Oryctolagus cuniculus: one gene and its partner. Each later gene encodes a partner of the first gene's protein in a complex. Links are inferred from orthologs where the notes say so. Each region holds a gene or a part of one and is shown in the gene's direction. Other genes may lie near its edges.

What was found.
Region 2: IMMT (region 1) and CHCHD3 share a complex: the UniProt entries of both Homo sapiens proteins name them as parts of the mitochondrial contact site and cristae organizing system (MICOS) complex. The link is inferred for Oryctolagus cuniculus from reciprocal best matches to the Homo sapiens genes IMMT and CHCHD3.

Annotation. Positions count from the first base shown.
Region 1 is NC_091433.1:116,579,005-116,584,400, forward strand, and holds part of IMMT (MICOS complex subunit MIC60), read left to right. Parts: intron 1-204; coding exon 205-278; intron 279-1,020; coding exon 1,021-1,210; intron 1,211-5,187; coding exon 5,188-5,299; intron 5,300-5,396. UniProt on the Homo sapiens protein: Component of the MICOS complex, a large protein complex of the mitochondrial inner membrane that plays crucial roles in the maintenance of crista junctions, inner membrane architecture, and formation of contact sites to the outer membrane.
Region 2 is NC_091434.1:168,673,323-168,678,718, reverse strand, and holds part of CHCHD3 (MICOS complex subunit MIC19), read left to right. Parts: exon of another isoform or gene 1-1,688; coding exon 1,689-1,824; intron 1,825-5,396. UniProt on the Homo sapiens protein: Component of the MICOS complex, a large protein complex of the mitochondrial inner membrane that plays crucial roles in the maintenance of crista junctions, inner membrane architecture, and formation of contact sites to the outer membrane.

The DNA of each region.
Region 1 (5,396 bases):
AAATATTACTAATAGGAGTCTTGGTGCAGGAAGCATCACTGTTTCATTTCTAAGAATATAAATGTCTCTTGACTTTGATTTCTGAAAATAAAATTTTTGTTTACTGAAGACATTTAAAATAAAGGTATTGTTTCTGCCTTACCAACTCTAAAAATGCCCCACATTTCTTAACTCTATCGGTTGCAATGTTTTTTTCTCCTTTAGAGTTGTCTCTGCGGGAAATTTGTCCTCCGTCCATTACGACCATGCCGAAGATACTCAACTTCAGGCAGTTCTGGGTATGTAGTATGTCTCGGCTTTTGACTGTGTGTGTGTGCGTGTGTATGTGTATGTGTGTTTTCCTGGAATATCGGAATAGCTGCCTAAAACCTTTTAATAAGAAGTATATACTCTAGAGTTTTGCTGTGGTATCTTTGGAGGGACCTTCTGGAGCACTGTTGTATTTCTGGGTGAAAAATTTTTATGATGCCTTTTGGTTTTTTGATAATCAGCATCCAGTGGAGATGCTGCCCCTTCCCATGTGCCATCTTCTGTTCCATGGCAAATAGATTTATATGCAGAACTCAGCATATTGTAGCTTGAAAAAGTGTTCTGTTTGATATTTTATGATCTTTTGTAAAGGATTAATTTTATTGTATTTACAATATATAATTAAGGGAGAGGAGCCTTAAAAGGTCATGGTAGTTTTTTTTTTTTTTTTTTGAGTTTAAAGGAAATTGCATAATTTGAATATCTAGAGTTTTAAGTGTTGAAGGATAGATTGCTTCATTCTTTCTCCCTTAGATACTGTATTCTAAAAAAATTTAGTTATCCCTATATGTTAGGAGTTTTTTGTTGCAGACTTGTTGAAAAATCAGAAAAATATGATGTGCTACTGTGGTAGTAAACTTGGCTGCTGTGATCTGGATCAGTGGTAGAGAAGTAGATGTTACAGATCAGAGTTCTTTGATTCTCCTAAGTTGGAGAATAGATACAGGAAAGCCAAGAAATATAAATGTGTTCCCCATTTCTTTGATATAGGTTGACTGCTGGCAAAATTGCTGGAGCTGGCCTTTTGTTTGTTGGTGGAGGTATTGGTGGCACTATTCTTTATGCAAAATGGGATTCCCATTTCCGAGAAAGTGTAGAGAAAACCATACCTTACTCAGACAAACTCTTTGAAATGGTTCTTGGTTCTGCACCTTACAGTATTCCACTGCCAAAGAAGCCGGTAAGAGGTTTGTTTGTTTGTTTAGCATTTCAGTTTATCCTATGTAAGGCTTTTAAAAGGAGGTTCTTTTCATCTTGAAAATATTTTGGAAAAACAAATTGTAAAGTTTTATTATAACTGTAATTCAGTACAGCCTGTCAGAGGTACTTCATTTCTGTTTAAATTGAACTGGTAGTAATCTATAAGGTGAGTGTTTATCCTTTTGGACATGCATAAGTGCATACCATGGGGAAAATAATTGTGCGATCCACAAGGGCAAATAGAGGAGCAGTATAGGAGGAAGTAACCCTGGTTGCCCTGTGGATCGAAGGGGAATCTGTCAGTCTACGTTGTTGCAGCCGTCAAGCTCTGACTTGACAGCCGTAGATGTCAAATGGTCATGACGCAGCCCACATGTTACGTTAGCAATGGCTTCTTTCAGAGCGTGAAACAGTCACTGAAGTTTCAGCTACATTTTGATTGGCTGACAGAAATATCTTTCATTGTTCATGAGGCTTTGTACATACTCTTCATTTTCACTCCTTTTTCTGCATCAGAATTAAACTTTTTTTTTTTTTTTTTTTTTTTTTTTGACAGAGTGGACAGTGAGAGAGAGAGAGAAAGGGTCTTCCTTTGCCGTTGGTTCACCCTCCAATGGCCGCCGCGGCCGGCGCACTGCGCTGATCCGAAGCCAGGAGCCAGGTACTTCTCCTGGTCTCCCATGGGGTGCAGGGCCCAAGCACTTGGGCCATCCTCCACTGCACTCCCTGGTCACAGCAGAGAGCTGGCCTGGAAGAGGGGCAACCGGGACAGAATCCGGCGCCCCGACTGGGACTAGAACCCGGTGTGCTGGTGCCGCAAGGCGGAGGATTAGCCTAGTGAGCCGCGGTGCCGGCCAGAATTAAACATTTTTAAAACTCAACTATTTCTTCATTTAAACATAGCTTCTTGTAACAATTTATTAAAGAGTATGAATTTTGGGTTTTTGATATTGGGCAATTCTTCATGCGATGAGGCTAGACATGGCTAATCCATTCATTCAAAACTGGATGAGCTTCAATTCTCCAGTAGGTAGAATGATGTAGGACCAATTTTGTAACAAAGATGATATTTAGAAAATCAAGTGTTCCGTGGTTGCCTGCCTACCCCACACTTCAGCCATCCTTTTCTTTCTTTTTTTCGATCCATTGACTTTTATTACAAATGTACTTGATCACTTGGCTTCAAAAGTTTAAAATCAATACCCTAGTTTCTGTAGGCCAGTACACAGCAAACTTTTACAAATTAAATACCTAGAAATTTGACCAAAATAGTAAAATCTGATGAAAATTGTGAAAATCCTTAATCTCTTCAAAAGAGTATAGTCTTCCCAGTTCTATTATACAATATTAATAATATTCACCATTTTTAGACTAGGTAGCTAAATTACATTTTTCTATTAGCATAAGAAAACTCTTACTAATAGATATTATTTGTATATGATCCAGTTAAGTTTGTGAATGCCATCTGATTGCAATATAATCAACTATCTTTAATTGAATTCCAATTTATACTTATTTAAGAATTTGTATAGTTGGAAAGGGATACAGGTTATTCTACAACATAGGCTGTGATAGTGCTGTTTTTCAAGGCAATAAGTATTTGTGCCAAAATGAAATTATTTTCTTTAGTCAGGGGTTAAAATTACTAGCAGCTTTCTTCATTACCTGAAAAATCAAATTGGAATAGTTATCCATATCTAAATGTGAAGGCCTAAAAAAACATTGATATATTTTCCACTTTGAGTCAAATTTCAACCCCTGCACAAGATAACTAGAAAGTGAGACTTTCAAGTTTTTTTTCTTTAATTTCCCTGTTGGCTTTAGCTTCTTTTCTTTTTTAAAGATTTATTTATTTATTTGAAAGTCAGAGTTAGAGAGAGGAGAGGCAGAGAGAGAGGTCTTCCATCCGCTGGTTCATTCCCCAATTGGCTGCAATGGCCGGCCGGAGCTGTGCCTATCTGAAGCCAGGAGCCAGGAGCTTCCTCTAGGTCTCCCACGTGGGTGCAGGGGCCCAAGGACTTGGGCCATCCTCCACTGCTAACCCAGGCCACAGCAGAGAGCTGGATTGGAAGAAGAGCAGCCGGGACTGGAACCGGCGCCCATATGGGATGCCGGCACTGCAGGTGGCAGCTTTACCCGCTGTGTCGTAGTGCCAGCAGTTTATTGCTTTCATAAAATAAAACTGTGCATTTTATTTCAGAGTATCTGCTTTATTACCTGTATGATTATTTGTGTAGTAAGTGTTTTCTCAATACTTACTATGTAGACATTAAAACTTTTTTGATAGACATAGAATAAGACCTGTATGAATGGATACTAATGTTATATTCATAGATGGAACTTAATGTCAGAAAGATGTTATTTCTCTTATGTGTCTCATAAATATGTTTTTACGGTATGTGTACATAAACATACAAAGAAATAGGTAAAGAATTCTAATGACATTTTCTAGAGGGTGAGGTACCAGACCTCATGATTTTAAAGTTCATATGGCAGAATTCATGATGTACAAGACTAGCCAAGAAAATTTGGAAAAAGGATGGGAAAGGGTCAGAAAACATTTGCTTTCTACCTATTATGTTGCTTTAATCAAATCAGTTCTTGACAACAGGAATAGAAATTAGAGGAATAGCACAACTACTGGAAATAGATTTTAGAAATAGATTTTATTCATACACGTTTATTTTGAATGTGAATTGGTAGAACTGTATGTGAAATTGATCTGTTAATATCAAAAATATAGCACCTTGATCCAGCAGTTCCTTTTCCAAGAAATTATCTTGCAGATAACATACAACAGCACTTTTTATTTATTTGGATGTTCATTGATTCAGTGTTTGTGAGACAAAATAAACAACTGGAATGTTGAATGGTTGACTAAATTCTGAGATAGTCTCTTTTTTTTTTTTTTTTTTTTTTTTTTTTTTTTTTTTTTTTAAGTTTTAAGCTTTTTATTCAGTGAGAGAAATGTATAGGAGAGTGAGGGCCCTATCTAAAAGAGAGAGGGAAATCTGGGTTCATACCAAGTACCAGGAGCCAGCCATGTGGAAGAGCATGGAGGGCCAGGAAGCATGGGGTGGGTGGCCTGAGGGCCATGCGCCCCAAAGGTGCAGGACAGCAAGGCCCGCAATGCACAGGGGTGGAGGGAGAGGTTTCAGGCCGGGGCTTCCTGAGCTAGCTGGAAGGGAAAGGAGCAATGAAGAGACCATGTAAAACCACTGATGTATGCAAGTATTGCTTTGCTTGTTTCAGTGAGCCTGTGTTTCCTAATTTAGGAATGATAATGTTTTATTAAAAATAAAAGGGATATATTTCTTGTAGTTTCCTGTGGGTAAGTAGTCATCTTAGGGATATCTGAGACATGCTGCCAGGTTCTGACAAAATGTGAGACATCACAGATGGTAAATAAAATATTTCTGTTACTCCTTAACTTTCTCTGGCACATCTCTGGAAGTCTTTTATGGATAGTACCTTAAATCTAAGGCAGGTAGTAACTGGAAAAGAGAAAAGCAAGCATTACTCACAAATTGATGTGTAATTGCATGAATCCTGGAGATTAAAGAAACAAAAACTGATTTTCATTTTTACTCAGATTCTGTAGTAAACTTTGTTTCTGACACTGTAATTTGATTTAGAAAGTAAATAGAAACACCTGCTTGTTGTATTTGTAAAAGAATCTTTAAGGGGAAGGGCATATGTATACTTTATTGTTTGTCCTAAAAGAACCTTTTGTTAGTACTAAAATATGCATTAGTGATTTGGAATAGAATTTTTGAACTGCAAATTTTCTAGTAATGATGACTTTTCTTACTGTGATTAATAAAATGCTTTTGTTGTAAAGCACTCATAATTTCATATTAAAAGCCTGAAAGACTTGACCTTTGAAATATTATAAATTGTTGTGTGCTGTCTTTTAGAAACAGTATTATATGTAAATTTTTTTTTTTTCCCCTCAAGATTCAGTCTGGTCCACTAAAAATCTCCAGTGTATCAGAGGTAATGAAAGAATCTAAACAGCCCGCCTCACAACTTCAGAAACACAAAGGAGATACTCCAGCTTCAACAACAGGTACTTCTATCTAAAACCATTCTTTAAAAATTATGGGGAAATGAATTGTTTTGATGTATTTGTCAAGAGAAGGCCCCCGGGGAAGGACTCTTCTGGT
Region 2 (5,396 bases), on another chromosome or scaffold:
AGAGGGGATTAGGGAAATCTGTGGCCAGAAAAAGTCCCAGATATCTGAACTTGGAAATCTTAAAAAGAATTGAAACTCCTGGGCTTGGATTTAAATTCTCTCCTTAGGTATTTGACAAAGTGGTAAGGTAATGAATGAAAAAGTAAAGGCAATGTTAGGTAAAATTTGTAGGACTATTCCCCGGCCCCTCCCCGTATTCTGCTTTCTGAGGGTAGTAGGAAGTAAATTCCCTCAGGGACTGGTATCTTACTTTGCATTTCTATTCTCGCAAAATATACATTAGCTTAGTGTGTTGGATAAAAGTAATGAGGAGACAAATCGTCACCCAAGGGTTTCCTTATTGATGGGAAATAGTTGCCCAGGTTCTCCAGGGCTTTCCTAGAACCCATTAAATGGAAAAGAATGCTATTTCAAGATTACTATGGAAATAACAAATTTAAATTTCAGAAAAAGAACTGATAAGAAGGAAGATTCTTGCATTAAAAAACTAATTTTTAACAAATATGAATTCCTAGATGAAAAAGGATAGCATGTGTTTTCTCTGTGTGTATTTGGTCCTTATAAGCCAAGTTCCCCTGCCATTTTAGCAAAGAAATTTTTTTCCCTTGTCTAATTGATTTGGTTTATGTTGCTATTGTGATTTTTCAAGTGGACATTATAAGCATTATGGAACCATTTATCTTTGGAATATCATATTCACTGAGAGCAATCTAAAAATCTGAGATTTTTAAGTACAATTGGCAAAATTTTTAACTCTGGGAATTTTAAAATGTTTTCTTGCCACTCATTTGTATTCATTCAACACATTTATTGTCTGACTTGTGTGGGGAGGATCCATATCTAAGGGCTTAGGACACAAAGGAAAGAAGACAGGGTCCTTCTTACATAGGCTAGCGAATTCTGCTGGACAGCAGTGTGCTTGGGGTTATGTGTTTGCCGAGAGAAGTTAATACGGGATCCGTGGGGTCACCCAAAAGGGTATGGTAGACCCTCGCAGGGAGGGAAGAGCTAATGGAATCTATACACAGGTTAGGCTGGAGCGTGGTGTTGAAATATGGGTCGGTGTTTCCCAGGCTTAGAGGCCTGCTAAGCGTTTGTGGGCCAGAGCGGCCTGAGCAGACACGAAGAGAAGGCTCCACCCTGAACGTACTTTTCCAGGCTGCAGCAGTGTGCCGACTGGGAACGTGACCGTCCACTCAAATTGATGTTTCTTTGGGGAGACTTCTGGCTTGAGGGTCTGGCCCTACCTCTGGCTGGGGAGTGACGGGTAAAGAGGCGGCAGGGACCTGTTTGGGAGGAACCGGGTCTGTTGACCTTGTATCTTATTTGAAAGCTGCACCTGCAGATGGAAGAGAGAAGTTACAGCTTGCACGTTGCTGGCTCAGATGACCAGGCCGAAGAGTCCTGGCGCCATTCATAGGTTTGGGTGTGGATTTAAAAGCGAAGGTTCTAGCATCCCAGGGAGACTTGTGTTGATGGAGCTCATTTCATAGAATTCATTTACCTTGTATACGTTTTTTATCATGGGAATAATTTGAATATCTTTCCTTAAAGTTCTAAGGAAAATGATTGAATCTTTTTCTGCACTTGGCCACATTGAGATGTTCTTTAACATTTGCTGTATTCTGTAACTCCGTGTATCCTGAGTGGAGGCCACGTGTCTCAGTGGTCCCTGTCTTTGTCCTTAGGCGGTACGAGTATCATCCAGTGTGTGCTGACCTGCAGGCGAGGATTCTCCAGTGTTACCGCCAGAACACCCACCAGACCCTCAGCTGCTCTGCTCTGGCCAACCAGTACATGCACTGTGTGAATCATGCCAAACAGGTGAGTGTGCCAGCCGGGGGCTGGCTGGGCTCCGGTGGAGTGGAAAGCCCAGCGGCTCAGGGCACAGGGGAGGATGCCCTGGGCTAATGTGTGTGGGGAAAGGCTGGGTAAACTCAGGTGGTCCTCATCAAGAATGGCGGTCCTGAGCTGGCTGGGTCAGAGCTGCCACGCGCATTCTCCTCGTGTTCAGCTAGCTCACTTGTGCAACAAAGAGACTCTTAAACTGACACTTCTCCCCACTCGCCCTGCACATTCGTCCTCAACTAATTGTGTTCTCGAGGGCATTGCCTCATACTTGCAAGCCAGTATTCAAAGCCAGCAGAGAGGAAGGCTATAAATTAAGAGGCCTACAGCTTTGGGCCCATGAACAGCAGGTCTACTTACAGGGCAGCTGGTCTTAAAAAACAGGGAATGCAATGCACCATCCGATCACCATGCAATCATGGCACCCCTTGTTAGAAGTCCTCTCAGTTGTCCAGGAAAAGGGACGACAGAAACAGGATTTGGGCGAGAATTCCCATTGCTTTGCTACGCCATAGCCACGTTCTTCTCTTCACCCTCCATATCAGAACAATAGAATGTTCCCAGGATTTGCATTTTCTCTAATTTATGCACTTCAGAAAACTAGTGATAAACCCTAAAGCAAATTGTCCCCATTCCGGTAGGTCACGTAATTGCCTGGCCTTTAACTGCTGTAACCGTCGGATGGAAATGGCTGGAAACCTTGCTTCTCTCTGCCGACAAACTCCCTAGCATTGACCTCCTAACCCCACTCAACCCAGCATCTAAGTCACAGAGCGAGCCTTTATGCACTCTAATCCGCTGTAGTTGTAATCACGCCACTCAGTGTAAATTCCTAACACCTCATAACCATCTGGTGGGAGGAGTGGTATTGTCTGGATACCAAAAAAATAGCAGTGACACTAGCGGGGGGAAAAACACCCTCAGGATTGATGAAAAGTTTGCGTTATTTTTTAAAAGGCCTCCTGGCCCATGGCTTTTTTTCTGTCCTCACTTGCATCAGCACTTGGATAACTCTCAGTAGTACGTCAGGGATTCTTTTCTTTATAGGCCTTTCAGAGAAGTAACGTTGTTAATGGAAAGTGAGTGTGTTTTATTTGTCAAGCAGCTTTTGATCGGCCTCAACTCTCCACGTTAATACCCATAACCGTGGGCTTTTCCTCACTTAATAGCAGCGCCTTATTGAGGCGGGACTGAGTAGTGAACCAGTAGAAAGAAGAAGGCCGTGACATAGGGCGGTCCACCGCTGGTGTCTGCCGTACGTGCCTGTTTCCCCAGTGTGATTTGGAGTATTGAGCCCATCCCGCCTGCATAGGGTGTGTTGCATTATTTTCACATAGCCTGGTGAGGTTGGCCGGTGGCATGCATTTCCAGAATAAGATAAAGGTAACTTGTGACAAAGTCAGTGTTAGGTGGTGCATTAGAGCCTTGTTCTCTGGGTTTAATGGGAATGCTGGGATGATTGCATTTATATAAAGCATTTATTTTTTACCTTCCTTCCTGAGCTGCATTCCTTTATACCGAAACTAAACAGATCAGCCAGAAGCATCAAATGATTGCAAATGATTCCAAATCACCCTCCTTCCTCCCCCTCCCTCCCCAGTAATTTCTCAGTAAATTTTGGCTAGTGTATGTGGGGTATTTGTTTTCCCAGCTCTTAAATTCAGTTATTAGGAAATGTGTCATACAAGGAAATATTAAAAACATGAGTCCACAAAACCTCAATCCTAAGACAGGCGACATTGAAATGAGCAAGAACCAAGAAACAGCAGTGCTTTATTTTTCTGCAGTTCTTAAGATTTCAAGGTCATTTCACACCCGCTCTCTTACCTGTTTCTTATGACAACCTGAGATGTAAATAAGAGGTGGTTTTACTTTTACCATTTCACAGTTGAGAGCATGGAAACTCAGGAGAGTCGTGGCAGTGAATTTAACAGCCAGACCGAGATGCACCTTGTCATCAAAGCAAAACAAAGCACAGTGTCAACGTAGACTAAGTGGTGTCTGGTGTGGCGGTGGGTGTGGGTGGAAGGGGACACCCGCCGTTCACGGTCAGAGGAGCAGTGCAGTGAGGGAACGGGAGAGGCAGATGCCTGCCAGGGAGAGAGCGCTGGGGAAGCCGCCGTGGAGTCTCAAGGTCTCAGACGGGCGTGGGATGGTGGGGCCCGGGATCGGAGGGGCAGGTGAGCGCTGCCCCCTGGAAGATCACACCGGCATGGCTCGCGAAACAGCCACTTGCGGTCCTCCCATGCCACATTGCCCCCTTGCTGCGTGTGGAGTTCATCTGACCTCGTGCCCCCCAACTCTGCCCCCTTGGTAGAAGAGACTAGGCAGTTACGTGGCCTTCACTGCCCATCTTGGCTTTTCCTGGAGGGCCACCTCCTCTTCTCAGGCTTCCGGTCAGACCCAGAGAACAGGCTAGACGAGTCCCCAATGATGTCCTGGGGTGCCTTTCTGACGAGGGACAGTCCCAGTCACCAAGGCCGCTCCGCTCCCACGGCCCGTAAGCGGAGCGTCCACTGCTGCCGCGGGCACTGTCCTGCAGACGAACGCACCTCACTGATAGGAAGGTCTCCGGATGTCCCTCAGCCTAACTTTCCCTTTCTTCTTATTCATCCACTTAGGCTCATCAGTCTCCGGCTCTTCTTAAACAATTCCTCATGGGTTGACATGAAACATTGAGACTATTATTTCCAGTATATTAAGTTACGTGTTCTTCATAAGGATAAAGAGACATTAAATTGCTCTAATTATTATTTCTAAGGCTTAAGAGCTGCCGGCCAGCTCTGTGAGATAAAGCATTTAAAAACGAAGAGCAGAAATTGATACAGACGTCCATGTCTTTTGTAATCTCTCATATCTGCTCAGCCTTAGGACTTTTTTAAGCTCCCCACGATGGGATCACCTCTTCTTACCATGAAAAGTCTGCTGCACCTGGGGTGGGAGGTTCCCATTCTGTCTTACTGCACCTGAGTTGGGGGGGAAGGGCTTGTTTCCAGATCTGCAGGGTCTCTGCCCCCTGGACACCTCCCCCCATACACACTCCAACTACTCCCCACTCCCCACCCCACTATTGCCCTGTGGGATCTGGCTGCTTTTTGGGGGCAGTGACTCTGAGCACTTCAGCGTTTCCCCCGCAAGTGCTGCTATTAAACAGGAAGGGACAGAAAGCTTGACTGGATTCTTCCAGAATGTTCTGTCATGTTCCCTGCAGGGAACATGCGGCTGATGGAAAAAGCCGGTGCTGCCACCCTCATCCGGTCATGGTGACCTGGGCTCTGGTTTTCTTCTTTGACAAATTGAAAGCTTGAACCCGGTGACGCTGAGGGCCTTGCTGCTCTGTGGCCCCAAGACTGAGCCTCCTCTGTCCCTGGGAGCCGGAGGCAGTGAGCATGGGCACACTCCGGAGGCAGCAGGACCTCCAGTCTGTGCTTTGCTCAGATTTCCCCGCCAGCCTCAAACGCCCACTCGGGCAGAGCTGCACTTGTGACTGACTGGTCTGCCTGCTGCCTGGCCTCCCACGGCTCCACACTCTCCCTTTGAGTTCACAC